Linked DNA regions of Rattus norvegicus. The protein of the gene in region 2 interacts with the protein of the main gene of each other region in a biochemical or structural test. Links are inferred from orthologs where the notes say so. Each region holds a gene or a part of one and is shown on either strand. Other genes may lie near its edges.

What was found.
Region 1: the proteins of Cfh (region 2) and Crp form a complex in vitro, tested with the Homo sapiens proteins (12 studies listed by BioGRID and IntAct, with this or other methods). The link is inferred for Rattus norvegicus from reciprocal best matches to the Homo sapiens genes CFH and CRP.

The regions. Positions count from the first base shown.
Region 1 is NC_086031.1:87,687,896-87,703,707, forward strand, and holds Crp (C-reactive protein precursor), read left to right. Parts: upstream 1-6,166; 5' UTR 6,167-6,278; coding exon 6,279-6,342; intron 6,343-6,560; coding exon 6,561-7,189; 3' UTR 7,190-8,083; downstream 8,084-15,812. UniProt on the Homo sapiens protein: Displays several functions associated with host defense: it promotes agglutination, bacterial capsular swelling, phagocytosis and complement fixation through its calcium-dependent binding to phosphorylcholine.
Region 2 is NC_086031.1:54,153,829-54,169,824, forward strand, and holds the start of Cfh (complement factor H precursor), read right to left. Parts: upstream 10,696-15,996; 5' UTR 10,647-10,695; coding exon 10,589-10,646; intron 1-10,588. UniProt on the Homo sapiens protein: Glycoprotein that plays an essential role in maintaining a well-balanced immune response by modulating complement activation.

The DNA.
Region 1 (15,812 bases), about 34 Mb from region 2:
CATGCATCTCTACATAGATACAGGCTGATATGAATATTTCTTAAGGGGTGGATTTCTATAGGTAAATTCATCTTATCTAGGAGGGCAGTTTATATCTTTATCAATTGGTTATGAGTTTATTGTGCAGATGTATTGTGGATTGAGAATTTAACAAATAAATCTGATTTTTGGGTTGCAACAACAACAAAAGAGAGGATAGTACTGTTATCCATAAGTAAAAGGGTGTGATTTTTTTCTCATTTTTCATAAGAGGCATATGCAGTCTTATTTGTATGAGTCAATTCGCATATTTATTTTTTTATTTTGCCTTGGTGGCCCAGCTTGGGCTAGACACTAATCACCAATAAGTGAAAGCCACTGATCTAGGTGTGACCCAACAATCTGTTTTGGCCCCACTTGCATAATGCTTGATATGTAAGTGATAGAAGTCTTCATACATTGCTCTCTGATGACTCTGCATTTAGTCAGGTTTCCATTCTCCTCAGTGGTTCCAGCACGTCTCTCAAGTCTGTCTCCCCTGAGATCTTAACTGCTCCTGCCTAGTTCTGACCCTTGTCACATTTACCTTAACTTGTTTGGCTAATGGCTTAGTCCATGGTCTTTAGAGCAGTTCATAACATTTGTCGTGGTGAAATTGATGTAAAGTCCATTAAGTCTATGAATTTATAATCTCTCTCACCTTGATACAACCTTTATATTTTCTTCCATTAAAATTTAGAAACACTCATCCAAGTATATAATTTCCTTATTTAGAACCTTATTTATAAACCTTCAAACTCAATTGCTTAAAGTAAAATGGCCTTAGAAGCAATATTTTTATAGATTATTTTATTAGGCAGTTTGTACAAGTAGTAGAATTAGTATAGTAATACATTATGAGCACAAATGCAATAATTTTCTGGTTAAGCTGATAATTCTACTGGTGACTAGGAAGTGGGAAATATGGCTTTATTCATGACTTAATTAGGTCAATGGGGTGAATAAAACAATGAATTGTTACAATCTATAGAATTTTGACTGGCAGAACAATAAAGATTTGGAGTATAAATATATTGATTTACAAAAAATGAACTACTGTGGTTAGAGGGGTTCAAACAAAAATCTGAAGTTTGTGTATGGTAGTAGAAAATAAAGTTTGAAAGCTGATAAACAACTTCAGCAAAGTGGCTGGGTATAAAATTAACTCAAATAAATCAGTTGCCTTCCTCTATACAAAAGAGAAACAAGCCTAGAAAGAAATTAGGGAAACGACACCCTTCATAATAGACCCAAATAATATAAAGTACCTCGGTGTGACTTTAACAAAGCAAGTAAAAGATCTGTACAATAAGAACTTCAAGACACTGAAGAAGGAAATTGAAGAAGACCTCAGAAGATGGAAAGATCTCCCATGCTCATGGATTGGCAGGATTAATATAGTAAAAATGCCCATTTTACCAAAAGCGATCTACAGATTCAATGCAATCCCCATCAAAATACCAATCCAATTCTTCAAAGAGTTAGACAGAACAATTTGCAAATTCATCTGGAATAACAAAAAACCCAGGATAGCTAAAGCTATCCTCAACAATAAAAGGACTTCAGGGGGAATCACTATCCCTGAACTCAAGCAGTATTACAGAGCAATAGCGATAAAAACTGCATGGTATTGGTACAGAGACAGACAGATAGACCAATGGAATAGAATTGAAGACCCAGAAATGAACCCACACACATATGGTCACTTGATTTTTGACAAAGGAGCCAAAACCATCCAATGGAAAAAAGATAGCATTTTCAGCAAATGGTGCTGGTTCAACTGGAGGTCAACATGTAGAAGAATGCAGATCGATCCATGCTTATCACCCTGTACAAAGCTTAAGTCCAAGTGGATCAAGGACCTCCACATCAAAGCAGACACACTCAAACTAATAGAAGAAAAACTAGGGAAGCATCTGGAACACATGGGCACTGGAAAAAATTTCCTGAACAAAACACCAATGGCTTACGCTCTAAGATCAAGAATCGACAAATGGGATCTCATAAAACTGCAAAGCTTCTGTAAGGCAAAGGACACTGTGGTTAGGACAAATCGGCAACCAACAGATTGGGAAAAGATCTTTACCAATCCTACAACAGATAGAGGCCTTATATCCAAAATATACAAAGAACTCAAGAAGTTAGACCGCAGGGAAACAAATAACCCTATTAAAAAATGGGGCTCAGAGCTAAACAAAGAATTCACAGCTGAGGAATGCCGAATGGCTGAGAAACACCTAAAGAAATGTTCAACATCTTTAGTCATAAGGGAAATGCAAATCAAAACAACCCTGAGATTTCACCTCACACCAGTGAGAATGGCTAAGATCAAAAACTCAGATGACAGCAGATGCTGGCGAGGATGCGGAGAAAGAGGAACACTCCTCCATTGTTGGTGGGGTTGCAAACTGGTACAACCATTCTGGAAATCAGTCTGGAGGATCCTCAGAAAATTGGACATTGAACTGCCTGAGGATCCAGCTATACCTCTCTTGGGCATATACCCAAAAGATGCCCCAACATATAAAAAAGACACGTGCTCCACTATGTTCATTGCAGCCTTATTTATAATAGCCAGAAGCTGGAAAGAACCCAGATGCCCTTCAACAGAGGAATGGATACAGAAAATGTGGTACATCTACACAATGGAATATTACTCAGCTATCAAAAACAACGACTTTATGAAATTCGTAGGCAAATGGTTGGAACTGGAAAACATCATCCTGAGTGAGCTAACCCAATCACAGAAAGACATACATGGTATGCACTCATTGATAAGTGGCTATTAGTCCAAATGCTTGATTACCCTAGATGCCTAGAACAAATGAAACTCAAGACGGATTATCAAAACGTGAATGCTTCACTCCTTCTTTAAAAGGGGAACAAGAATACCCTTGGCAGGGAAGAGAGAGGCAAAGATTAAAACAGAGACTGAAGGAACACCCATTCAGAGCCTGCCCCACATGTGGCCCATACATATACAGCCACCCGATTAGACAAGATGGATGAAGCAAAGAAGTGCAGGCCGACAGGAGCTGGATGTAGATCGCTCCTGAGAGACACAGCCAGAATACAGCAAATACAGAGGCGAATGCCAGCAGCAAACCACTGAACTGAGAACGGGACCCCCGTTGAAGGAATCAGAGAAAGAACTGGAAGAGCTTGAAGGGGCTCGAGACCCCATATGTACAACAATGCCAAGCAACCAGAGCTTCCAGGGACTAAGCCACTAACTAAAGACTATACATGGACTGACCCTGGACTCTGACCTCATAGGTAGCAATGAATATCCTAGTAAGAGCACCAGTGGAAGGGGAAGCCCTGGGTCCTGCTAAGACTGAACCCCCAGTGAACTAGACTGGTGGGGGGAGGGCGGCAATGGGGGGAGGGTTGGGAGGGGAACACCCATAAGGAAGGGGAGGGGGGAGGGGGATGTTTGCCCGGATACCGGGAAAGGGAATAACACTCGAAATGTATATAAGAAATACTCAAGTTAATAAAAAAAAAAAAAAAGAAAATAAAGTTTGGAGGTTGGTAAATATGTTATATTATTCCCTTAGTCTCTATGATGGTTAATTTTAATTTTCAACTTAATACAATCTAGAATCTCCTGGGAAGAGAGTCTCAGTAAAGGATTGTCTAGATCAAGTTGATCTGTGGGAGTTGGGTGATCTTAACTTAGGTGGGAAGGCTGCCCACTGTGAGTGGCACAATTCCCTAGGCAGGGGATACTGAACTGCATGAGAATGGAGAAGTGAGCTGAGAACAAGCATGTGTGCATCCATTGTTCTGTTTTTGATTATGGTTGTGATATAATCAATTCCCTCAAGCTCTTGTCTCTCTTCTCTGTTATGATGGACTGTAACTTGGAACTGTGAACTAAAATAAATCCTTTCTCCCCTAAGTTGGTTTTGTCAGCCATTTTATATCATAGCAACAGGAAAGGAAGATAAGACATTCTTGAATCTCTTACTTCAGTTTTTGTGGCTCAGTTTAAATGCTGTTTCCATGTAAAAGGTTTCCTATGTAAAGATACCAGGATGTTTCAGGGCAGGAGATGGCCAGTATGAAACCATGGTCTTTGGTTCAAGGATTGCTACAAAGGTGTTTCTATTTTCTTAAGCTCTTCGAGATGTGTAAATATCACAAACCAACTGCAATATGTAAATTAAGACAAAGGGATTTGTGAATAACCTACTTTTGAAGATCAGAGTTCAGTAAGGGCACTTGTAACAGATAAGTTCAGAGACTCGATGTGATTGTTTCTCATAATTGGGAGTCAAAATTGGAGTGGAGGGGCCAGAAATCACTTCTTAAGGCCTTTACATTTGTTCATTTTAAAAACAACGTTTAAAAATTCTAGAAAGAGTTAAGAACTGTGCCGAATGTCAGGTGTTGTATAAGATTAAAAAAAAAACCCAGAAAAAAAATCGGTTATTGGGAGAGAGGGAGAGAGAGAAAGAGAGAGAGTGTTGTTGTTTTCTTCTTCAGTGATTGATGTCAGAACCAGAAATCCTTGAGTTAAGGAGGGAGATTGGAACAATGGAGGTCTTGGTTACAAATAACCTTTCTATCTTCCTTCTTTTTCCCTTTGTCTTTCTCTTCTTTCTCTAAAATGCAATGTTTATTATAGTTTTGGCGTTTGGGGAAATGATAGAATGAAGGTGAAATTAATGATGCGTAAAGCAGAAAGAAACACTTGGTGGCAACATTCATTGGGTGTTGGGCCATCTGGGCCTGTTACAAAGGTGCAAGTTTGACCTTAGATGCATTGTGCAACTGTTTATTTCTTATGAGGAGTCAGAAAAGCAGGTAGATTTTATGATGGAAAGATACAGAGTGGTAGCAACCAAGCTTCAATATGAGAATGACCAATTTTCAGCGACTTAACAAAATATAAGTTTGCATATTCTTCAAGAAAATATTTGGGTAGATGATATTTAAGGGTTGAAACAATGGCTCTATGATAACATTTACTGGTGCAACCTATTTTTTTTTTCTTTTTTTTCGGAGCTGGGGACCGAACCCAGGGCCTTGCGCTTGCTAGGCAAGCGCTCTACCACTGAGCTAAATCCCCAACCCCCGGTTCAACCTATTAAGTTGCTGTGCCAGCCTCTACTTGCAGCTTGTTATGGGGAAGATGGGGAAGGTGATTGCTCTCTCTCTCTCTCTCTCATCAGCCCCCACCAGAAGGCAAGAAAGGAATGAAAGGGAAGTCATGAATCTTTACTGTAAAGGTGCAGCCTAGAGAGTGTCTCTTTTCTGACCTGTAGCTGAGGCTGAGAAATCTAGTAGTCTTGGGTAGGATGAGAATGCATCCATCTTAAAACGGAATTACTGAATGAATGGCTCTCTGCTTCAGGGGATACAGTATTTTTCCCTCTAATTTCTCAATTAGAGGGTGACTCATAAATGGAATGAAAGAATGAATGAGATTGTGAGGGATTCAGGAACAAGGTGAAGGAGCACGGTATTCAACTAGAAGACTCAGGTAAGCAGAAAACTGCTTAACTGTTAGGCAGTGTGGAGGGACCACTTAGATTCTGGACAAAAGAAGCAAATGTTAACCATTCTGAATTCTCCCTGATGCTTCCACATTAAAAAAAAGAAAAAATAAAAACCAAATCAACAAACAAACAAAAACCCAGTCCGTTTCACGAGATTGAGCCATAGTACATTTGGGATAGGACAGGTGTTCTCTTCAGTCAAAGGTCTCTGATAAGTCTGTGCAGTTGGCCAGGGAAAGTTTGTTCTTGGTTCTGGGAATGGAATACTTGTTTTCTTCATTTCCCAGTATGGGAAGGAGCAGCTTCCAGAAGAGGTTAGCAGACCCTGGGGATTCAACCATCGCATGCACACTCATGAGCGCTCATCTATTAAGCTAAAATTTCCCATTATTTTCTCAATATAGATAGGCAAAATGGAGCCTTGGGAAGGTTTCTCATTTTTCCTGTCACACAGAAACTGGTGATTCAGGGGTCACAGGAGTTTGCAATAAATAACCCACATCGATTTCTCTGTTCTAGAATGTTTTTTTTTTTTTTTTTTTTTTTTTGCTTCCCTTCCTCCCAGTGGTCTGATGTTTACCCCAAGAGGCAGTGTTAGGAAATCATTTACAAAGTGGTTCAGCCTCTCCATCTGCTACAGTTATAAATCTAAGGATGGGCTGTGCCTGAGGCAGGGGATCCAGGACTTCTTGCCCTTGATCTTTCAGACAGAGCTCTGTCCTCTTAGTCCGGATCCCAGCAGAGTCGACAGCCATGGAGAAGCTACTATGGTGTCTTCTGATCACGATAAGCTTCTCTCAGGCTTTTGGTCATGAAGGTAGGAGCTATTATAAAGTTTTTTTTTTCCCTAGGGGAGGACGATGGGAGCCTAATATTTTACATGAGGAATTCAAGGATCAGGATCAGGTATAGCTGTGTTCCATAAGGAACCTGGGAGAGGGTCAGATGTCTCTTGATCCCAAACCCTACTTGTAAGGGAGGATACGTCTTCATTATCTGAGAAACTACTCACTTTGTTGGTTTTCTGTCTCACAGACATGTCTAAACAGGCCTTCGTATTTCCCGGAGTGTCAGCTACTGCCTATGTGTCCCTGGAAGCAGAGTCAAAGAAGCCACTGGAAGCCTTCACTGTGTGTCTCTATGCCCACGCTGATGTGAGCCGAAGCTTCAGCATCTTCTCTTACGCTACCAAGACGAGCTTTAACGAGATTCTTCTGTTTTGGACTAGGGGTCAAGGGTTTAGTATTGCAGTAGGTGGGCCTGAAATACTGTTCAGTGCTTCAGAAATTCCTGAGGTACCAACACACATCTGTGCCACCTGGGAGTCTGCTACAGGAATTGTAGAGCTTTGGCTTGACGGGAAACCCAGGGTGCGGAAAAGTCTGCAGAAGGGCTACATTGTGGGGACAAATGCAAGCATCATCTTGGGGCAGGAGCAGGACTCGTATGGCGGTGGCTTTGACGCGAATCAGTCTTTGGTGGGAGACATTGGAGATGTGAACATGTGGGACTTTGTGCTATCTCCAGAACAGATCAATGCAGTCTATGTTGGTAGGGTATTCAGCCCCAATGTTTTGAACTGGCGGGCACTGAAGTATGAAACACACGGTGATGTGTTTATCAAGCCGCAGCTGTGGCCCTTGACTGACTGTTGTGAGTCCTGAGGCACCTCCTGGGATTACATTCTCTCCCTTGTCCCTCCTTATGAACCTTTTAACCCCAGCAGATGTTGTAGATCTGTTTTGTGAATATGGCCTTTCACTTCTCTGCTCTGTGGTCCTCAGCACTAGAGCATGGAATTTAAATGTAAGGCTTCCAGCATGTGCATCCCACTACTCTTTATCAAAGAGAACCTGACTTACCCACGGTGTGTGTATGTGTATTTAATTAAAAAATTTTTAGACATAATCCTTCTCCCTCACACAGATGAGAAACCAGATGCACAGAAAGGAGAATAATTTTTTATTGTTTTTGTTTCAGAATGTCATATTGAATGGTGTACTTATATCCTTTCTATCCCTCCCTCTTCAAATCCTCTACTATCCCCCCCAATTCTCCCTCGAATTCATGATGTCTTATAATTAGCCTTATATGCACATACACATCTATCTATCTATCTATCTATCTATCTATCTATCTATCTATCCATCCATCCATCCATCCATCCATCCATCCATCCATCTATCTATCTATCTATCTATCTATCTATCTATCATCTATCAGTAATCCATCTTACTGATTACATTTAGTGTTTCTTGTATTTTGTTGAACACTTGAGACTGGATAATCTATCAGGAGGTCTATCCCTGAAGAAAACGGATTGTCCTTTTCTCAGCAGCTGATTACCTCTAGCTCTTCATATATGGGTGTGGCTTTGTGAAATGTTTCTGTCCATGTTGCATGTCAACTGGAATCATTGTGCAAGTCTTTTTTTGGGCAACCCAGAGTGATGGAGCACTGACTACACTGTGCTCAGAATCAGTTCTTTTCTGGAATAAAACCTGTACTTGAACTTTCCAGATTCATGAATCAATAAAGTTACCTTTGGCTTGAACAAATTTGAGCAGTTTCATGACTAACTTTATTATTGACCCTCTGAAATCAAGACTCTAACTTCAGGCTGACTGGCACTGTCTTGCCGAAGCATATCCCAGCCACCCTACCCTCTGCTGCTGGAATCTTTTGTGATGAGTCTCTCTGAGGTGGACAGCCCTACTTTGGAGATAGCTGGTCATTCACGGGGTTCAGGTGTGGGCTTCTGATACTCTCCCTTTTAGAATTCCAGTTTGAGAACAAAATTCTAAAGACCTTTGAGAGTCATGTATCTGGAGTCAAGTCCAGTGATGGAAAGCATTTGTTTCAGTCTGTTTGGCTGCTTTATAGAAACAGACCCCTCAATGTTTCTGGCTTTTCCCAGAGGCATCCTTTATCATGGTTTTTCTGGACTGGGTAAACAATAAAGTCATTCCATAAGGTTTTATTGAGGGTTGGAGAAGGGGCTCCTTCAATCATTATTTTAGGGAAGGCATAGGCTAGAATGGTTAAATTTAAAGGTTCTAGAATCAGGTTGATGTCCTGGTTTTATATCTTACAATTATGTGACCTCTTTGAACTCAGTTTTCTTACCTCTAAGTAAAGAGAAATAATTTCACTCATTTAAAGGTCATTGTAAGAGGTGGATATGATTACATAAACAGTAAGCTCTTGTAAGAATCACCCTCCGTTACTATTAGTTGATTTTATACTACATGCCTAAATGTTACACACCCTGAAAATAGTGCTGTTGGAGTTTTGTCTAGGTTGGCAGCATGTGTGTTTCTGATTTGCTAAGAATTCAGTTCAGATCATTAGGTGGACGAACAGAGTGTCTTTGAAGAAATTATTTATGAATATCGATTTCCCTAATTGACCTTTGATAACCATTTAGAATCACAAGAGTTAGGGAAATATATTCTTAGGCAAAAATGCAAGTGAAGATAATTCTCCATTGTCCAATTAGGGCAGATCCATATACCCTGACACTCAGCTAAGTGGGAGAGAGGGGTGATGCTCTTTTCAAGTTAACGAATCTAACCAGGAGATATGTCTTAATTATAGAAGGCCGTCCCAATTCCTCAGGGATGTGGGATGAGCTAATATGTTCTTCAGAATTCAATTATGGGTACCTTGTACACACAGTCTAGTGGAGAGCCTCTGGCCTGATAATTTTATCCAGGGAATTTTTAACAGGTAGTATTTGCATTCGGCGTGGATTAAAAAAATCTTAATAAATACTTCTATAGTGCTTAAACTTAAGCAATTTACCTCTCTAGCAGATACCTTGATGTAATATTCTTAGAAAATGTATTCCTAGGTACCTGGTGAATTGTCCTAATATATGAAGTTGTTAGATGTAATCTAATAAAACCATGTCTGCTGAGAATGATTTTGATTTGGGAATGTTGGTGCTGGTATTTTTTATTTTTTATTTTTTTGTAAGTAGGTAATACCAACCTTCTATGTTGGTCACTCTAAGTGGTATTGGCAATGCTGTGTCATTGCACTGGGCTTTTCAGGGATCATGCATCAAACTTATCCCGGAACCTTAAAGAGCAAGTTAGAAACACAGGGAGCCCCTGCTCTACTTAAACCTTGATATTAAAACTAGGCAGTGGCTAGGAAGATGGCTCAGTTGGTAAAGCACTTGTCTTGCAAGCTCGAGGACCTGAGTTTAGTACCGAGAGCCTACACAAAGTTGCCTGGCATGGTGGTCCATGTTTGTAATCCCAACACTGGGGAGGTAGGAAGAAGAGAACCAAGGAGGCTAAATGGCTAGTCAATCTGACCTAAGTTGGCGAACCAGATTAATGGAAGACTGTTTCAAAATATGTAGATGATGTTCCTGATGATGATCCTTGAGATTGTTTTCTGGCTTCTACACACATGTGTGAATACATGCACACACAACTGCACATAGATATGCGCGCACACACACACACACACACACACACACACACACACACACACATACACACACACGTGCACTTAAAACCAAGGCAAAAATATTATGCCTTGTTTACAAGAAAGTTAAGTGGACTTATTTAGAATTTCTTTTTATACAGAAAATGGAGACTTCTAGTTCTAATCTTTAGGCAAGGCCTGAAGAGACGTCATAGTTCATTTACAGGCTAGATCCAGAGGATTGAGCCATAGCACAGGTCAGAGCACCCAAGGGTGGTTAACTACGCACACAGCTTTCTTTTGTAATTGAAAATTGACATTTGGTACAAAGGTTAGGCCTAACCCTGGCCCAAATGGCAGCCTCTAAGCAGCAGATGCGACACGGTGCTGTACTGTCAGGAGCCAACATAGGAGAAGCTAAAAACTAGCAGGTGATCTTCCTGATACAGTTCAGAAGCCTGGCACATCCCTGTGTCAGGTAGAAATACTGTATTACTGCTCATGAAAGAGGCTTTGCATGTTCTCCAATAAGAGCCGTCATGATGATGTCACAGTTAAGTCTGGGAGTTTTGTAGGTGCAGATGAGTCTGTGAGGACCCATGCCTTTGGTAAGATCTGGTCTATCTAGAGCCTGGAAGATGGACTACAGATCTCTCCAAAGGTGGAGATAGGGTCTGACAGACAGATTCGTAACGCAAGTTGACAAAGTAAGGAGAATATTAAATTTGTGAATCTTTGCCCTGTGTTTTTTTGCTGTCTCCAATTTTATTGTGTTGCAGGAAAGTCAAGCTTAACACAAGGAAAGCAAGTGATTCCAGGTTATTAATAAAAAACAACAGAACGTCACCCACAACAAGTTTTAAAGACATAGTTTTGGTCCCTAGAGTCCCCTGAAAAGAAAGTGATGCTTTGATTTCTAAGTACCTCCATCCCAAGATAACTCCCCTCTTGCCTCTGATAGGTTGGTCTGGTGACCTGCAAAGATTCTTCCCTTCCGTTTCCGGTCTCTATCTCACCTGTGGATATCTGTTCGTTTCACCTGGACCAGAAAATAAATTAAGTGGGCTTATTTGTTTTTTTTTTTTTCCTACAGAAATGGAGGCTTCTAGTTTAATTTCCCTGGATACCTGGCCCAGTGATACACTGTAGTCTCCTAATATGGAAATCATTACCTCTGGGGTGTTGATCATGTGTTCAGAATCATTGACTTGGGAACTGCTAGGCCAGGCTCTATGCCCAGTGTGTTTACAGAACTAGTCTTATCTGGTGGGCATTCTTAGCTCCCATTAAGCCTCAAGGCAGGTGGTTGTATTCAAAGATGGATTTAAGTCCTCCTGGCCCAATTTTGTTATGTGAACACAAATATCCCATCCTACAGACATAATGTCCCATCAAGGTTCTGAGGGTGCCAGCTACCTAATCCCAGGGAAGATTATCTCATACTGTTTAAAAGTACCCTATACTTTTTCTTAAAGATTTATTTATTTTTGTCTTATGTACATCGGTGTATTGGCTGCATATAACTGGAGTAATAGACAGTTGTGAGCTGCCATGGAGGTGCTGGGAATTGAACGCGGGTCCTCTGGGAGAGCAGTCAGTGCTCTTAACCACTGAGCCAGTTCTTTAGCCTCACTAATTTTTTTTAAAAATTATTTTATTTTTGAAATTAAATATAATTACATCTTTCCCCTCTTTCCTCCATCTAACCCTTCCCATGCATCTCCCCTTGCTTGGTCTGATACGTGTGGACTATATTTCTTTAATTATGGCTACACACACACACACACACACACACACACACACACACACACACACGGGAACAAAAAAAATACTACACAGTATGTTTAAGGGCTGGCCACTTGATATTGGAGAACCAACTGTGTGCTTTTTCCTGGGGAACATTATTCTCCACTGTCCCCACTCTCAGCATTCCTTAGTTACCTGTAGTTCTTTGTCTAGGGTTGAGGCCTCATGCGTTTTTCCCTTCAGTGTTAGCACATCTATTGGTGTCACCCTTGTTCAGGTCTCGTTTAGGTAGCAGTGTTGATGGGACTTCATAATGGAGGCAGTGTGTGTGTGTGTGTGTGTGTGTGTGTGTGTGTGTGTGTGTGTGTGTAGATTGTAAGAGCTACAGCGACAAGGAGTTTCCTGTGAGCTCATCTCCCAGAAATGAAGCTAAAAGTGCCTTATTCTGATCTGAGCTTTTATTGTATACTAGACACTGAGGCCTTTAAACACACTTGTTTGGAGATTTTGTAAAGATTCGTTTTAGAGTACTTACTTTCTCTCTTTTAATATATATATATATATATATATATATATATATATATATATATATATATGTATGAACACCTATGTATTCATTCTTCTCTCATATATTACATCCCGACCACAGCTTCCTCTCCCTTCACTCCTCCCAGCCTTCCCCAGATCCTTCAGAAAAGAGCAGGCCTCCCAGATACATTAACCCAACACAGCATAACACATTACAGTAAGACTAGGCACAAACTCTCGTATCAAGGTTGGACCAGGCAAACCGGTAGGAGGGAAAAGGTACCAAGAGCAGGTGAAAGGGTCAGAGACATGCCACACTCCCGTTGTAAGGAGTCCCACAAAATAAATCATAATATATATGCAGAGGCCTTAGCTCAGACCCATGAAGGCGCCATGATTGTAGTTTCCATCTCTGAGAGCCCCTTCGAGCTCTCCTTAGTTGATTTTGAGGGGCGTGTTCTCCTGATGGATTGTAGGAGCCAGAGTACTTACCTTTTTTATATTTATTTATTTATTTATTTATTTATTTATTTATTTATTTATTTATTTATTTTAGGCTTGGAACTCACTACATAGATTAAGTTGGCCTCAAACTCACAGAGATTTTCCTGCTTTTTTTTTTTTTTTCTCTCTCTGAGTTAAAGGTATGTGCCATCATGCCCGGCTAATTTTTGTTTTATATGTAAAGAAACCAAGGTCTGAGGAGGTTAATCAATTTTCTTAGCCTCTGACTACTCATGGCTTATCCCCTGCCCTTGTGCCCACAGTGGAAGGAGAGTGGGGTATGGGGATAAGTGTCTTTCTTTAGGGAGCCCCCATACTTAATTTTTGTTTTTCTTGAGACAGGGTATTTTGCATCCTAAGCCTCAGTATCACAGTATAACCAAGGATGACCGTTAACTTCTGATTTCTGGGGTTACAGGTGTATGTGGTACTTTACCTTGATTGGTGCTGGGTATCAAGCTTGAGAGCCTGTGCAAGGCAAGCACTCTTGCTAGTCAAGCTAGACCCCCATTCTAAGTCTTGTTCTTATCTATCCAGCCTCAATGTTAAGACAGCATTAGGCTGACTATACTCATGGCACACTGTTAAATTCTTCTCCAACCTGGAATACCCACTCTCTGCCCCAGATTATCAATGCCTCAGACAACGCCTTACCATGAAGCCTTCTCCACAGACACAGAATGGTGGAGACTTCCATACCAGTAGATCTCAACTCTAGGTGCCAGCTAGAGTTACCTGGCCAGCTTTCAAAGACCTAACAGCCAAGGCTTCACCCAGATCATGACACTAGAGTCTCCGGTGACGAGACCCAGGTGCCGATGTTTATAAATTTGCTCAAATAATTCCAGTGTGTAGCGAAGTCGTCCACTGTGGAGGATGGGGTACCGCTATTCTTGTCGATTGGTGGCTTTGAGAAGATTCCAGGGGTCTAGGAATTCTAGGCTGCTCCAGGATCAAATAAAGTGACAGCCAGGTGTTTTTCATGTTATTTATTCAATAAAGCTGCACAGAATTGACAAACATCCTGCCTTGCCTCAGGGTGTTTTTCTTTTCCCGAAGACTGTTACTCAGATTGCTGCACTTTGGGGTGTTTCTCTCATCTACAGAGGCTTTAAATCAGGGAGAATCCTACATGCCAAGGTGTCTAGGAAAGCTCAGATCCTTACATATTTTTTATGAATCATCACAAACTCTAAGGAAAAGAGAGGAGGTTCCTGCCGACCTGCCCGAGGGAAGGGTCAGGTCACATTGGAGGCTGATTTATTGTACCCGACGCTCCCTGAAATGATTCCAACAGTTACAGAGCTGTGTCAGCAGCTGCTGGGAACCAGCAGGGATTGTTAACTGGTTCACAGGGACTCTCTCTCTCTCTCTCTCTCTCTCTCTCTCTCTCTCTCTCTCTCTCTCTCTTTCTCTCTCTCTCCCTCCCTCCCTCCCTCCCTTCCTCCCCCTTTCATTTTAAAGGTTTGTTCAGCATATCCATTTTGGAGGTAGTTCAAATTTTGGAGGTGTTGTGGATTCCATGAAATCAATAATTTTTCCAGCATCCATTCCCAGTGTTGGAGGCTGTATTTTATTGACTTGTCTGCAGAGCCCAGATGTTAATAATAAAGCAATTTCCACACTGGGAAAACATATTTTTTTTGTTCAAGTATTATTTTCCATAAAATCCTTTTCTGTTTTCATAATGTATATCTCTTTTATTGGGCAAGTGGGCAAAAAGAGAGGAAGGGCTAAATTTCTGAAGCAATTACACCAAGCCAGTCACATCTTTTTAAAAAAAATCTGGTGTAAGAAGTCCTTTGGAAAGGACAATTTAAAAAGAAAATTTAACGATTCACTATTAAAAAGAAACCATTCTATAAGCAGACTACTATTTTTATAGTGATTTTTTTTTGGTTGTGTGGTTGGAATATGTTAATCAACATCTGAATTTTTTAGTCAGTCAATGGAGAAATGCTACCAATTCCTCATTGAATATCAATGAAAAACTGTGATGAGACCATGATAAATTAGTTTGATTCATTTTTTTTTTTGGTTCTTTTTTTCGGAGCTGGGGACCGAACCCAGGGCCTTGTGCTTCCTAGGTAAGCGCTCTAACCACTGAGCTAAATCCCCAGCCCCTTGATTCATTTTTTTACATGATCTCACAATCCTTTAGAATGGAATTTACATATTTTAAAATACTTTTATGCCTGTATCTTTTTTTTTTTTATTAACTTGAGTATTTCTTATATACATTTCGAGTGTTATTCCCTTTTCCAGTTTCCGGGCAAACATCCCCCTCCCCCCTCCCCTTCTTTATGGGTGTTCCCCTCCCCATCCTCCCCCCCTTGCCGCCCTCCCCCCAACAATCTAGTCCACTGGGGGTTCAGTCTTAGCAGGACCCAGGGCTTCCCCTTCCACTGGTGCTCTTACTAGGATATTCATTTTATGCCTGTATCTTAAGGATGCTGTCTCGCTGATGCTATTCTCTGGTTTAGTCAATCGGGTGCAAAGTCAAATAAATGTCCGTCCAGACTGGGATTCTTACTCATAAAACGAAACACTAGTTTCTGGAGCCTCGAGGACTCTCATCTGCATTCCCTCTTTCCGCGATTCTAATTACATGCACACACACACACACACACACACACACACACACACACACACACTCATTTTAGTAGCACTAAAGCACATTATGGAAATGTTGGAGGAGAAAATCCTACCTAATTCTGCTCTCACAATAGGAGCACATTATCTTCTGGCATTACTGCCTTTCCCCTAAAGTATTTACTTCTTTACATGCAGTATCTTATGTTTTTTCTCCTTTCTAATTATAAACGTTTGCCATGTTGTACCATAAAGTTTGCAGCTAACATTTTAAATGGCCCTTCCATTCTGTTTAGAGGGTGACGGTGTATACCGTTTTCTTAAATGTGCCCAATTTTCTAATTTTTCATTACGCTAAGCAATGCTAAATGGTTTCCTTTGTGAACAAAGTCTCCTCCCTGCCATATTTTATGTCTCTTCCCAGGATGTGACTGTCCTAATTTACCAGGCAATGCCACATACAGCTTCTGGAGCTCC
Region 2 (15,996 bases):
TTGCCCATGTCTTTTACTTCTTGATTTTATGACAATTCGCTCTACTTTACTAATCTTTTCTACTCTTTTAAAAAGCAATGGATCACCCTACTGCGTATATTTCACCTGGAACTTCCATCTACAAGATGGTACACAGCATGTGAAATAAAAGGACTGCTATGTTTTATAGAAGAATAGAGCAATTGTTTAGGCTGTCGGGTTTCCTTTGAGTCTTTCGCTAGTTTTTTGAGCTTTAGTTTGATCATCATTTCAGTAGTTAAACTTCTCCACACTAGGTGGCGCTAATACCCCACCACTGCCACCGCCAAAACCAGGGTCTTCGGAAAAAAAAAAAAATTGTTGCTCTCGGGAAAATAAACAATCCCTCTGTTTTCAGTTGCTGTTTGTCTTTGTTTAGAGTCTCAACATAATGTGTATCCATAACTCGTGTTCTGGCTTAAATAGTTAAAGTAATCGTTCACTGTATTTCGACAATAACAGTTAAGTGTGTCTTGAGGGTGGCAAACATTTTTTCACGTTCCACTGAAAGTAGCCGTCCAGGCGTTCTAACTAGACAGGAACAAGTTCTGCTCATTCATGTTCTCCATCTGTCAACCTAAATGTACACCAAACACCAAACACATTTGCTTGAAATAAATGAGAAGTTGTTAATGAAAGCAGGGCAGGTGGTTCTTACATAGGGAGTAGAGAAGTGCTTTCGAAAGGATGAACACATTTTCAGACGGGTGATTCAACTTAAGACTTTTAAGACACGGGGAAGTTGACAGCTTCTATGTCCAGGTGAATGAGTAAACTCACTTTTCTTGTACCTAAATATTTACTCAGATTCCAACAAATGAAACCTGGTCCAATCCTAATTAAATAGTTGATTTTGCTTTTTAAGAATTTTCTTTGTTAATTTCCTATTTACTTAGATGCAAATGCCACTCTTGAATGTTTTCCAGAAACAGAATGACTGTGTAGGTTTGATAATCTGAAAACAAGAGTTTTACTTAAACTTGAGGAAGATAACTATAATCGATGGAACTTTAAAGCAAATATTTGCTGTTTTAATAATCATGATTACCAGTTTTTCATATACAGATTTTAAAGAATTAGGACTGACAAACCAAGTGCAATTCCTTTTCCGAATGCCAATATGTCTCAGAATTGTTCTTTGAAATGTTCTTGCTGCAATGAAGTAAGTCTTAATGAATTTTTATATTTTGTAAAACATCAGTTGTACCCACACTTTTGAAAGACTAAAGATGGAGAGGTCATCTTTTTTTCTCTTCCTATAGCTTCTACAAGGATTTTGGAAAAAGAATGAGAGGCATCATTTTAAAAATATATTTATTAGCAGATGGTGGAGTATACACATTACTCAGAAAAAAGTAAAAGAATAAAGTGGGAAGAGCAAGAATGTTAGTTTCATTAAATTTCTCATCTGCTTTCTTATTGATATAAATGAGTATTAAGTTTATGCATGTATATGATCCAAAGAGTATTTTGTTTACTAAAAATATTTAGATTAATTTATAAATAGTGCAAGAATATTTAGGTTGAATTTTTTTGAACAAAGTAAATATAAATTGCAATAAAGTACTTTAAAAAACAAACTACAAAAATTTAAGTTTTGGTTATATTTAATGAACATTGGAAAATAAATTTCTATTTCTAAAACATACAGAAATAATTATAAATTTTCTTTATAAAACTAATACCCTCGAGAAGCACCTAGATCATAATAGGCAGGTATATGGCTAAACCTGAGTGAAATCGACCAGAGTAGTTGGAATTTTTGCCTCCTGAGGAGTCAGCTTGAAGTCAATTTCTGAAAAAGGCAGCATTTACACAAGAGTCTCCTAACACCAAGAAGGGTCCAGGTTCAATATTGTCTTTTTAAAATAAACTGTTAGCATACATTGAACGGTTTCATTAGGCTTGAACGGCTGCCTCACAAAGCAGTTTAGCCACAAGATGGAGTAACTAAGGCTGAATGTTTTAGCAGCTCCAGTACTGGAGTGGATGAGAGGTATCAGTGGGATGCCGAGGATAAGGATTAGAACAAGGGAAAACAATGACTTCATGACATTCATAGGTAAATGGATGGAACTAGAAAATATCATCCTGAGTGAGGTAACCCAACCACACACACACATACACACACACACACACACACACACACACACACACACACACACACACACCTGGTATGCACTCACTGAAAAGTGAATATTAACCCAAAAGCCCAGCTTACCCAAAATACAATCCATAGACCACCATGAAACTCAAGAAAGACGACCAAAATGCGGATGCTTCAGTTCTTCTTGAAAGGGGGAACAAAAACATTCATAGGAGGAGATAGGGAGACAAAATTTGGAGCAAAGTCTGAAGAAATGGCCATTCAGAACCTGTCCCAACTGGGGATCCAGCCCATATACATACAGACACCAAACTCGACAATATTGCTGAGGTCAAGAAGTGCATGCTGACAGGAGCCTAATATAGCTGTCTCATGAGAGACTCTGCCAGAGCATGACAAATACAGAGGATGCTAGCAGCCAACCATTGAACTGAGAATGGGGTCCCCATTGGAGGAGTTAGAGAAAGGATTCAAGGAGCTGAAGGGGTTTGTAACCCCATAAAAACAACAATACCAACCAACCAGAGCTCCCAGGGACTAAACCACCATCCAAAGAGTATGCACAGACAGACCTATGGCTCCAGCTGCATATGTGGCAGAAGATGGCCTTGTTGGCCACCAGTGAAAGGAGAACCCCTGGGTCCTGCCAAGGCTGGACCCCCCTAGTGTAGGGGAATGTCAGAGAGGGGAGGCGGGAAGGTGTGTGTGGTTGGGTGGCTGAACACCCTCATAGAAGAAGGGGCAGGGGGATAAAATGATAAAGTAGGGGGTTTATGAAAGGGAAACCAGGAAAGGGGATAATATTTGAAATATAAATTAAAAAAATCAAAAACAAAACAAAACAAAAATAAATAAAAGGGAAAACTTTTTCTTTCCTAACCTCCCACTAATCCTTGTGAAACTTAAGCCAAGTTAAGTTGTAGGTGTGGAGATGAGCCCCACAGCTTTATAGAACCTATAGTTCTTTCTGTATATCTGATGTTTTTCTGTTAACATCCTCTTTGGTCTTTCTGACTAACTCCTATGCAGCATCCGTAGCCTATCTACTTGAGGCTCCATGCCTGTCCTTTGAGCATACTGGAGAGAGAAGATTGTGAATTGAGAGCTTTGTCTGACTTTTCTCAGAGAAACAACATAGAACTAAGTCAGCAGAACATCTGTATCCAGTTACCGTCACCCTCACCCTCTCCTGTTCCTGACCCATTTTCCCATTCCAATTATTATTTCATGTTATTTTTTAAGTTAATATATGAAGTATTATATTATATTTTATATTATATTATAGTGAGGCATTTTTTTCTTCCAAGACATAGTTTTTCGTGTAGGCCTGACTGTCCTCGAATTCACTTTGTAGATTAAGCTGGCCTTGAACTTAGAGAACTGCCCTGTATTTTCTTCCCTCATACAGGGACTATGGTGTGCCACCATATCCAGCCTTTTTTATGACTTGTAAAAACAGTTTTATTTTCTTCTCTTCACCTTTCTACCCTGTCTCCCTCCTCTGTCTTGGTCAATCCACTTGTGTTTTTCATGGTTCCCTTCCTCCACGGTTCTTTTTCCACTTCTAGTTCCATGTCTTCTATCCATAAGTCACACACACACACACACACACACACACACACACACACACACGTCATATTAAACAAAGATATATGCAGTATATATAAAGTATATGTATTAAAAACTAGAATCAAAATGTGAAGGAGAGCATGCAGAGTTTGTCTCCCTGTGAGTCTGAATTCATCAATTTTTCCTATAAATTTCATAATTTTTTGTAGCTGAACAAAAATTCATTTTGTGTATACAGCACATCTTTTCAACTTCAGTTTTCTGCTTTAGGAACTTTTTAAAATCTGAGTCATAATAGTTTATAAGATGAGCTACTGTATGTGAATATTTCAATACACTGTTCATTCTTTTCCTCTCCACTAAATGACAACCTTTTGGAAAGTATTATATTGCGCAGTACTTAAAAGTTATTCAAAAGGGATTGTGAATAGAGGAGAGAGCGAACGCAAAAAAGACTGTAGGAACTTTCCCACAGTGTACACCCATATAGTCAATAGGGCCACCAACAGCTGAGAGTGGCAAATGGGAAACTTAAAAGACAAGACTTGGAAAAAGGAAAAGAAAGAGACAACTTGAGGGAAAAAAAAGAGGAGGAAAAGGAGGAGGAGGCAGTGGCAAGAGCACCACTGTCTGGTGGAGTTGAATGCCTGTTGCATGCACTGAAAGTTCTCTACAGAGTTTGCACATCTGTCTATGTTGCGGTTTTTGAAGTCTAGAGTCACTTGAATTTAGCTCGAAGTATAAAAGTTCCCTCGGAACCTTTGAAGGGGTGTTTCTATAATCGTCCTCTATCTATCCCATTTCCAGTTAACACTCTGTGAGAAACTAGACTTTCTAAGTGAAAATGTCAAAACAAAAGTGTTCTGTCAAATCCGTGTGTTCTTTTTATTATTTCACGGTTGGAATTTTTTTCTGTTTAGTTGCTTGACTTTATCTGAACCAGACTTTTTTTTTCTTCTAATTTTAAACCAAAAAAAAAAAGTAACATTTTTTTTCCCAATTACTTTATCTGTTTTTCATGTTTTGTGCTCTGAGAAAAGCTAAAGTTAACATCAGTCAACTGAGCGTTTGAGGATTTGGTGGACAGCATCTGCCTAAATGTCGAGAGGTAGAGGTAGTGTGTGTGTGTGTGTGTGTGTGTGTGTGTGTGTGTGTGTGTGTGTGTGTGTGTGTGGAGAGAGAGAGAGAGAGAGAGAGAGAGAGAGAGAGAGGAAGGAGGGAGGGCTGAGGGAGAGAGTGAGGGAAGGAGAGAGAGAAGGAGGAAGTAAAGACTAACAATCAGAGTCAGGAAATAAACATGGATTAATTTGGAAGGGGAGAGAGAGTTCAAAATTGAGCAATCTAAGGACAAAGAGGCAGACTATTTACTCTGTGGCAGTTCCTACCTTAGAAAAATTCCGCTTTGCACTACTTAAATGGTTTAGTTTTAAATAGCATCCTGGCAAAGGGCATGCACATTCCTAGAACATGACTGTGCTGATGATAAGCAAGGCTTGTTTTCACTGACCACCTTCACCCTGCCTGCGAGCAACTTCTCCACCCTTTGTCACCTGTTACAGCATTTCATCCTAGGAAGCTTCCTGTCTCAGAATGTCTTTGGTCTATTTTGTCCCTTACCATTTTCCAGTTCTATCCTCTATCAGTGAAATTTCACAGTAAATTACACATAATAGCACTAAATTTAACTATGTGGTCCCTTACACATAAATAACAGGTTGGTTGAGTTTGTGGTACGATAAACATGTCAAATACTTTAAGAGTTGCATGAAAGAAGACACTGAAGACAATTGGGGCACAATGCCAAGTAACATGATTTAGGGAAATATAATTCTATCCTGAAAACATGTGTTGTAGGGATAGAGGTTACTTGCTCCACTGACATTAATGCCTAATTTAGGTAATAAACTAGTAGTGCCCTAGTGTCTAGTTTACATAATGATCTCTAATACTCATGTGCATCTACTAGGGTGGATTTAAGCAAGTGTGATAGAAGGTGGCATACATGGACCTCTGACCTCTGGGGCCTGGGAGAGTACAACCGAGAAGCTTAATAAATATGCTAGACTGTGTGAAGAACCTTATCAAACAGGATGCAAGTTCTTTCAACCTGACCTCTTTTAGACTCTTCTCAAAATTCAAACTCAAGGAAGAATTTCAATGTTGACATCTCTGTCCCACACCTGATTATTCAATCCAACCACTTTCCTTAAAGAAATGTGGGGATCTATCTATGCACTGCCTCCATGGTGTGTGTGAAAAAGATTACTGTTCCAATTTCAAGGTTCAGAAAAGGGAGGCTACGAGGATGTTGTTTTTTTTTCCTCAATGGGAGAAACGAAACAACTGCAATGGATTCGGTTTGTGCTGTTTGGTTAATGGAAACTTAGGACTTTGCAAGTAGGTACTATTAATGGCAATAGGTGGTTTGGTTGACATTGTGAATTCCTTCAGTTTTGTCCCAAACAAGAAAGCCAAAGAAATACCAAAGATAGTCAACTTCAGAGTTTTCAGATGTCTTCTGGCTTTGAAAACATTATGATTTTAAAAAAAGAAAGAAAGTAAACATTATGCTCACAGTAGAGACTGCAGCAATAAATCCAAATATTTATTATAATTTGAAATACAAGAAAGGTTTAAAAGTCCCGGTTTGTCCTGTGACATGTTTATAAATTTTTGCTGTGATAAAGGAGCATAAAAGCAAGATACCGAAATTGGTTTTCTGTGTCAATGAAAGCATTGAAGACATGCAGACATGTATTTTCTCTTTGTAAATCCACACGTTATTTTTTAGTTTACCACCAAAATTTCCATTTCTTTTTTATTCTTATTTCTTTTATATTTTTTAGATTATAATCTAATTACATCATTTCCCCTTTCCTCTTGTCTCTCCAATACTGCCCACCTATCTCCTTTACTTTCTTTCACCCCATGACTACTTATTTTCATAACTATAATTATATGCATATATGCATATACATATATATTTCTAAATATAACATGATCAGTATATATAATATTACTTATATGTATGTTTTAAAGTTGACCTTTACTTTTTGGATTTTTTTTTATTTTCTGTCTAGAAAAAGAGAACTATAGGTTGCTTCTTTAGAAGGTTTTGATATTTAAATATTTTTCCATTTTTCTAAGGAAGGTCCAGCTATTGCTGTCAATTTAGTTGAATGAAAGCAACAGAAAATCTGCATAAGATATTCTTGATATTGAATTTCAGTACTAGGGAGGCTAAGGCCAGAAGACTAGGAGTTTAAGGACCAGCATGGGCCAAACAGGGGGACTCTATCTCGAAGAACTAAAGTAATTGAAGACAAAGGACAGCAGTGATACTACTGACAGAACTCTGTGTATGCAGTACTGTATGTGACAATACATACACAGTGACGCACATATCACTTCTGTATTGCAACTTGCTGCATCCGTCTTCATTCAGTCACTTGGGACATGTGAAACCTTCATATTCAATATGGCTAAGGCCAAAGGAAAAGCTGTAGACATGGTTTATAGTTAAGATGTGGTGAACGCTGCAGAATCAGCTGCTTTCAACTTTGGACACAGAGTGAAGGGAAAAGTAAGACACACTCCATATTAATTCTTTTTCTTAAGGAAAAGTATAAATATCTTACATTGAATCACTTGACTTTTTGACATAATATAATATCATTTTACATAAAAGAATAATTAACTTTTCTCTAAATTTCCCCCAAAGCAACTATTATTAACTCATAATTAATGTATATAACATCAATTTTTCCACATCAATGTTAAACTAAGTTTGAAAAAATCATATACTTAAAACATTATAGAATTAAACCAATTCTCCATTCTATGATTAAAGTCTCTAAGCCTGAAAGGACCTTTTTGTCCTTTAAACCTCCAGGATTAGAAAACACTTATCTCCCCAGAAAGCACGCAGTGGTTATTTGGTTTTGTTTCAGCACAGGTTTAATTGGTTCATTTCAGCAATCCTGGGCTGCGGCCTAATTTCATACAATATTCAATTGTGAGAGTAAAATGCTTGGAAAGCTTGGGTATAATCCATTCCCCAGAACTGAAATTATACGGCTCAACCAAGGAACTCTCTTATGTTACAGGTTGTCCTGTAAATCTGACCCAATTCTGATCAGCGTGTGGTTTTGCAGGAAGCACCATTGACTGTTCTTGGCAGCTAGAAGTGTGAATACAGTCAAGCACTGCACTAAAAAGATATGAGAAAGCCCTTGGCAAGTAGAAAAGGGGAAAAGGAGAGGGGGGGGACAGAGAGAGAGAGAGAGAGAGAGAGAGAGAGGGAGGGAGGGAGGGAGGGAGGGAGACAGAGAGAGAGAGAGAGAGAGAGAGAGAGGGAGGGAGGGAGGGAGGGAGACAGAGAGAGAGAGAGAGAGAGAGAGAGAGAGAGAGAGAGAGAGGGAGGGAGGGAGGGAGACAGAGAGAGAGAGAGAGAGAGAGAGAGAGAGAGAGGGGCACGGAGGGAGGGAGGCAAACAAGCTGGGTTCATAGTTCTTCTTTTGGTTATTATTCTTTAATTATTAATAGTGGAGTTTAAATTTTTTGTTATGGTTATTATTTTCTTTTAATTTGAGTGGGTGTAACATACAGTTGCCATGCCTGTATGAGGAAACTGGAGGACAGTCTGTAGGAGGCTTTTTTTCCCCCTTTCACCAGGTGGGGCCCATGAATTGAACTCAAGTAGCCAGGTTCTTTGCCAAGCAAGATCATTATTGTGTTTACCGTTCCTGCTGGCCCAGCTAACATTGGTTTTAGATGAATGTTGATCTTTATCAGGGCAGAAAATACTTATGAAATCTTTTCTTCCCTGTTTCAGAAAGCCTAATATGAGAGCATTTCACAAACTTTTTTTTTTTAAATCAGCTTAGTAGCCAGCATCTAATAGAATAGAAACAGGAGCAAACATTGCAGCATATACATAATTGTTTTAATTGATCCAAGCTCTTCTGCTGAAATTCCTCTTAAGTTGATAGACTGATTAAATTGTTTACATTTGAGATAGACACGGGTCACCAGCCAAGCTAAGACTAAAGTGGGAGTACTGTGTCCACTGAAAATCCATGAAACTTCTCCCATCTGTTTACATTCATTTTGTGGAGACCATGAGGTTACCCTACATAATGATTTAGAAACTAAACTCTCTTTTCATCTGTGAATGAAAGGAAAATCCCTGTGAAACAGTATCGGACACAGTGTAACTGCCCACCTCATCAGCAAGAACTGGCACCACATTTGAATACATACTGATGAAAATTCAAATCCAGCAATAACAAAAAAATCAGCTGACATCCATGGCATAAATGAGGATTTTTAAATCATTAGCGTTAAAGTATCACGCAAACATCGCGGCACTTCCTTTTTAATATTGAAATTCTGCTTTGTAATTGTGTAGACACCTTAATTCGATTTATATCAATTAAGACTTAAAAGTTAGCTAAACATAAAATAGTTCTTTCTTTAATCTTATATATCTTTAAAAACCTCTTAGTAAACATTATTATTCAAGTAGAACACTAAAATAAGCGATGAAAACATTGCCTTTAACAAAATAAAAAGTTTAGTTATGCTTGGTAATATCAACATTGCTTTAGAATTCCTGGCCAATATAATCACATTTCATTTCAGCAATACTTATATTTTCATATACAAGGAAATGACTGCCTTAGTCTATAAGGCATCTGAATACAAGACTCTTAAGCTAAAATTCAAGGAATAACATTAAAAAATATAATTGAAAATGTTTACTCTTTCAAAAAGTATAAAATACCCTTAAATTTTTTTTTCAGAATTTTAGTAAAAGATACAACTGAGAAACCATATCTACTCTTCTTATGTGGGTTGGTAAACATCCAGTCAGAGGATAATTTTAGTATTCTTTACTGAGTAGTGGTTACAGCAAAGCTTCAAATTACAATGCATTGGCTAAGAGAAACATTTAAGGAAGTTATTAAAGTTATGTCATTCACTTTATATAAAAAGTGCTAAGTCAGGCATGGCAGTCACTCTCACTGGTAACCTCAGCCCATAGGAAGCTGCTGACAAGAGGACTACAGTGAGCTCAAGGGTGTAGTGACACCCTATCTTAAACAATCAAAACACAAAGAAGAGTTGATTAAATGTTTATCCCACAACTAGGTACCCTTCCTAAACTGGGAAAGCAAAGCTCTTTCATTGGATAAACTAAGCAGTCTTGGGAGAATTTAAGTGAATAATAAAGTCAGACCCTGTTATTGTCATGAAAGAACTCCGACAGTCACATTACCTACTTCAAAATGGCTTCAGAAACAAACATGCCCCACACGTATTCACAGAAAACAAAACCAGAAACAAATCAGATCCGTCCAATGCAGGTTACATGTCAAATTTTATTTTCTTTTTATCTCATACTTGAAGGTCTTACATACGAAACTTTTAAAACCATGGAAATATCAGCTAAGTGATGTAGTTAGGAAGGTTTAGAAATAAGCCTGAAATCGATCCACCCATTTAAAGAAAAAAGTAAGTGCTTTCATTGACTTTGGATATTTATATATTTCTAACTAGTTTTACATATAGTACTTCAGGGACACTCATGAGAAAAAGAGGAGCCTGTATTTCCTGATAACTACAAGTTAAATGTCTATGCCTAATTATGGATTGCAAAAACATGTTTAAAGCACTGTCTTGAGTTTTACATCAAGCTGAACTATCAATTACAATAGTCAAGTGAAAGGTTCACGGTTTTTAAACTTACCACCAAAAGCCATTCAGTTACAGACTAGTAATTACCCACATTTTCTAGACTTAATTTGAATAATTGCTATGAGAAATATTATCAGCAAATGTTTTATAATGCGGCTCAGTCAGAAGGGAGAAAGGTGGTGGTTTTAAGCTTACCTTCTGCTACACAAACAGTCCATAATATAAGCCAAATAATTCTTGCTGACAGTCTCATGTCTTGGATCTATCTGGGAGCAGTTGACTCGAAGAGAAGTATGTGCTGTACCATCCAGTTCCTCTCTGCTATGAACTGTGGTTACAGCAGAGACAGACTTGCCCCAAAGGGAAGTTGAAAGTTAGTTTAGGAAATCAGGATTTCTAGATGCTCCACCCATGAGCGACTTCTGCAAAGTAAACTAAAAGGATAGACCACAAGTCCAGCAGCATAGGCGTTTGATCTCATCTGTTACTGCGCCCTGTCTGTGACCTGCTGGGCTGTTCTTGTAAATCACAGCTTGTTTTGCTTGGAAACAAGTTCACGTTTCTGGAAATGTGAGCAGGGGCTGGATTTCATAATCCTTGAAACTGTGTTCTACTGTGTACAAACCACAGAACAGAAAGCAATGAAGGCGAATTTAAAAACCATTGAGGGAACTTCCGTTAGGCAGTGTTTTTACGACCAACACCCTGCATAGTACAGAAATGTTGTCAAGACTGTCATGCTGAGGGATGGTGATTATGGGATTGGTTTTTCTAAAATTCATGAAATGAGTCTCCCAAGAAATTCTTTTTATATGTGTGAGGCAACTGGTCTGTGTCTCGTTGGCTATGAATGAATAACTCAAAAGATCCATCAATTTGACATGCTAATTTTCTAGCTTCTAGTTACGGTATTGTATAATAAGAAAGCAGAGGTGTGAAAAAGTGTCTGTAATATGCTGAATTGATGTTGAACCCAGGCCAATACTCAACTCCCAACTTGCTAGCCTTGGTAACCCCTCTGTGCCCTCCAGATTTCCACCTACTGTCAGTGTCTCCAAGAACATGGACCTTATATACCTGAACTTTGTGTAAGTGTGGAGGAAGCAATTTACTCCTTTGTTTATGTAGAGTCCTTCACTGAGAACTTCATCTGCTGGAGATGACTCCATATTGTTCATTTTTCTTTCTATGTAATATTCAATAGTTTGAATACATACAGCACAATTTTTAGTTATTCATGTGCATGTTAATGACAGATTCCAGCTAGAAAATAGTACAAGTAGGACCACTAATGTGATACAGTGTAGGGTTTGCTAACTGCTCTAGCTCAAGCATATAGATAAATTAGCTGAGAACAGAGCATTTAAGCATTTTCTTAAGTCCATAAGAACTTTCAGGAGTGAGATACTCAACCCAATGGTCTAATATCCCAAATCTATGCAGATTGGCATTTTCTGATGACTTGCTTCCTATTTTGTTAAATGTGTAGGAATTCAACTTCTAATAACTCATTGTAGTAGTTGCTTGTCAGTGGATGTGACAAGATACCTGAGAAAGCAGTTAAGGGAAGGAAAGATTTATTTCTGCTCACAGTTCCCAGAGAGAGCCTGTCAATCAGGGAAGAACAGCCCCAGGAACGTCTGGGCACATGGCAACACCAGTCCTGCTACGGAAAGCAATGATGAATGTTGCAAGGTTCACTCTGTTTTTTCTTCAGTCTAGGACCCCTCCACATGGAAGACATTAATATCAGAACAATTTACAAACCCTCACTTCAGAGTGCTTAATATTAATCATGTCACAAGAGCTTAATACCCTGAAATGCTCATCATTTTATCAAAGAAATTTGACAGAAGTTTTCAAAAATTTGGCAATAATAAAAACTTATAGGCAATACAAATCATGATGAACTTGTAATGACTTTTCTATCATTTTGCTAACAAGATACAAATATTAATAAAAACTGATAGAAGACATTTTTATTTTTTATTGTTAGTTCAGCTATAATAAAATTGAAGCTTATAATAAAATAATCAAAAATGTAGATAGCCAAAAAATGCAAAAGTTAAAGTAGCATGTGTCTTATTATGTAAATAATATCCATAGTTTGTTATTTTTTAACTTTCTTACTCATCATTGTTTACAGGTTCAAAATCTATTTTATTATTATCCGAGTACCTTTGGAAAGATAATTATACAACGTATCTCATGAAAAATATGCTGAGTATTATCTCTGATGGCTGTGGCCTGGGAAATTACATATTTACTTAGACATTTAAAATGGGACAAGATACCCTTTAATAGGCTAAGCTAGTATTTAGAAACAGATAAAGGGTCTGGAAGTACTCAGCTGTGAAATTCACAGTGGTATTCAAGAGACAGCAATGCTGAAGACACTCGGTAACATGTACAATTTACACCCACAATTGTTCTTTTTTTTATTTTTACTTACCAATTTTAAACTTATAGTTTATAACAAGTCATCTTTTACCTACTTAAGACTTTTTATCTTAATTTTAAAATTTAATTAATTAAATCGTTAATTTCATACATGAATACACTTTACTTGAATATCTACACCTTTCTCACCTCCAACTCTTGTCTTCTTCCTCTATAATTATTGTCCTGTACATATACAGATGTGTATATATGTGAACACTAGCAATCTGCTGAGTCTAATTAATGTTGCTACATATATATGTGCGTGAGACCTCTTAGGATTAGAAAAACCTATCAGAAAATTGGTCCTTGACGACAAGTAATTGCCACAGCCATCAAATACCTTAACTCTTCATCTAGTTATAGGGCCTTGTGAAATTTCCCCAGTTTACATTGTCCTGATCTGGTGTCATCTTGGGAAGTTTAGGCAACCATATTGTTAAATGTATAGGAACACCAATCCAATCTTTTCTAAAAGACACCATCTCAAAATAGGTCTCCTGATTCTCTGGACTTTACAAATATTTCTGACCTCTTATGGGATATTCCTTGAGACTTAGGCATAGAGTTTGCATTGTATGGGTATCAATAATACTGATAATTCCACAATTTTTGCATGTTGAGCAGTTGTGTGTCTCTGTGAAAGCCTCTCTCTGCTGTAAAAGAGAAGCTTTTTTGATGAGGGGTGAAAGCTGAACTTGTCTATGGGTATTTAGGAACAAATATTTAGAATATAGTTAGAATCTGCATTAATTTAGCAAAGTAGCAGTAATAAGTTTTCTTCTAAGCCATCTTCTAGTCATTATTCCTGGCTTGATTTGCAGTAACAGGCAGGGATTCCCTCCTTTTGATTCAGACTTAATACCAGTTTGCTACTGATTACTCTTGTGATGTCAGTGGCACTATTGTATAATTTAGTGATACCTTGATTGATTTAGTTGTTCTGAGTAACAATTGATTAAACATAAAAAGTACAGCAGTACCTAAGGGCATGTTATAAGGAAAAATGTTACATATAACCAATGTTTTGAAGAGAACTGTCTTAGTTATGATTTGTGAATTAATGTACACAACAACAGCTACAAGCTCTTATTTAATTTGAAGTTAATTAAGGAGAGAGTAGATGGTAGCTAACCATCATGCATCCAAGACAGTAAATAGCTCATGAGTGAGAATTGAGAGGAAGGAAAGAAAGTAGTAGAGTGGACATGACCAGAAGACTGAACCATGAGAAGAGAGATGAGGAGAGTATGAGAGGAGGACCAAAAGAGAGGGACCAAGAGAACTAAGAGATACCTAAGAGCCAAGAGACAGCCAAAAGCATGTATGGCTGAAATGACATGGTTTTATATGAATGAGTAGCAGAAGGAAAGCCAATGACCTGGAGTTTAGGATAGGGGGAAAATTGAGAAGAGCTGAGGGGAGCCACAAATATTGAGTAAGCCTAGAAACTAACATGTACTTTGGAATGCTAAAAGGCAAACACAGCTATTCATTTGTCTTCCATTCCCTTTGGTCATGACATTGAAATTAAGTCACAAATAAAGAAAAAAATTAGAAACCATAGCAAAAAGTGAGATAGTCCAGAGTCCATCCCTGAAGTTCAAGTGTTCTGCTCCCAGTGCAGAATAAGGGAAACTGCAGAAAGTGGGAACCAAAGTTTAGAACAAAAACAGTGTCTAGATAGCTATGATGAGTTTGTAGTAACAGAAGAGAGGGAGGCAGAAAGGGAGGGAAGGAAGGAGAGATGAGGAGGAAGGGAGGGAGTGAACAAGATGTAAAATGAGGATGATGCATACTGTTATACTGTTCCCCTGCAAAAAGAGGAAAGTGTAGAAACCAAAGGAGTCAGGAATGGGGCAGAAACTCAAAACCACAATCAACAGCAGAAACATTCTTAAGAAATTGATAGTTCAACTAGACAAGAATCCCAAAGTCCATGACATACATCATATAGGAAATTCTCTATTGTCAACAGTAAATTCTCTACTTGTCAACAGTCAACTGCATCTGTGGCAGGAAGACATATATGTATACACACACACACACACACACACACACAGTCACAGGCACAGGCACATGCACACACACACACACACAGTCACAGGCACAGGCACATGCACACACACACACACACACACACACACACATACACATACACAGAGAGAGAGTGTGTGCTAGGCATGGTAGAGGCAATGGTTCCTACATGGCTCATTCTTGTGACCTAGTATAAGTGTCATTGGACTGACTTCTGATCCCTAGTCTTCAGAATACCTCTTGGTAAAAAGAAGAAAAATTTTGAGTTAGAATGCCACAATGTTGCATAATATGGAAATCTGACCTGAACATTTGACTGCAGCAGAATGCACAGATAACTGCTAATACACATAAGGGATACGACAAAAAGAGCACACACACACTTGTGTCTATGTGAAAGACTCACAGAAACACCCAGACAGGAAATTATCAGATCCAAATGCTGGTGGTTAGACAAAAGCCATCATTCCAAAGGAACTTATAAGCCTTTCTTCCCTAACAGTGCCAGACTTCCCTCTCACTCACAGTAGGTAGAAATGGCTATCTGTGGTGCCCCTTAGCACACCAAAGCACATTCTAGCCTTCAGGTTCCCTCAGTATAACGAGTACCTGTTATGTATTTCAGAATCTGTGCTGGCATCCTGGCTCTTCACCCCACGCTCCTTAGCCTGAATTTCTTCAGTTCATGGTTTTTCTCTCTGCAACTTCTCATTTCTCCTTATAGCCCTGTTATATTTGGCTACGTGCTCTCTTTTGCCTTCCTCTCGTAGGTCTCTCTTTTTGCTCCTCTCTCTTAGCCCCTTCTCTCTTCCTATCTTCTCATTCTCTCCATCTTTCCTCTCACAGTCAAGTCAAGTTTGATGGCCATATCCATTTCAGTCTGCTACCTTCTTTGCTTGCTCTAAACTCTTCCAGCTGCCACTGGAGCTTCTCTTCCTTTATATCTACAATAAAAACTTTCTACTTAATCATACTTTGGAGTGGTCATGTTGTCAGTTTGTATAACAACCACATGGAGAAAGTATCATGTCTGACTGTACATATCCTACTACGTGGAAGCTGACTCTGCACTTGGACTTAGAAGGTCCAAGTTCTGACAGTACCTAAAGTCAGTTTTTCTCTCCGTG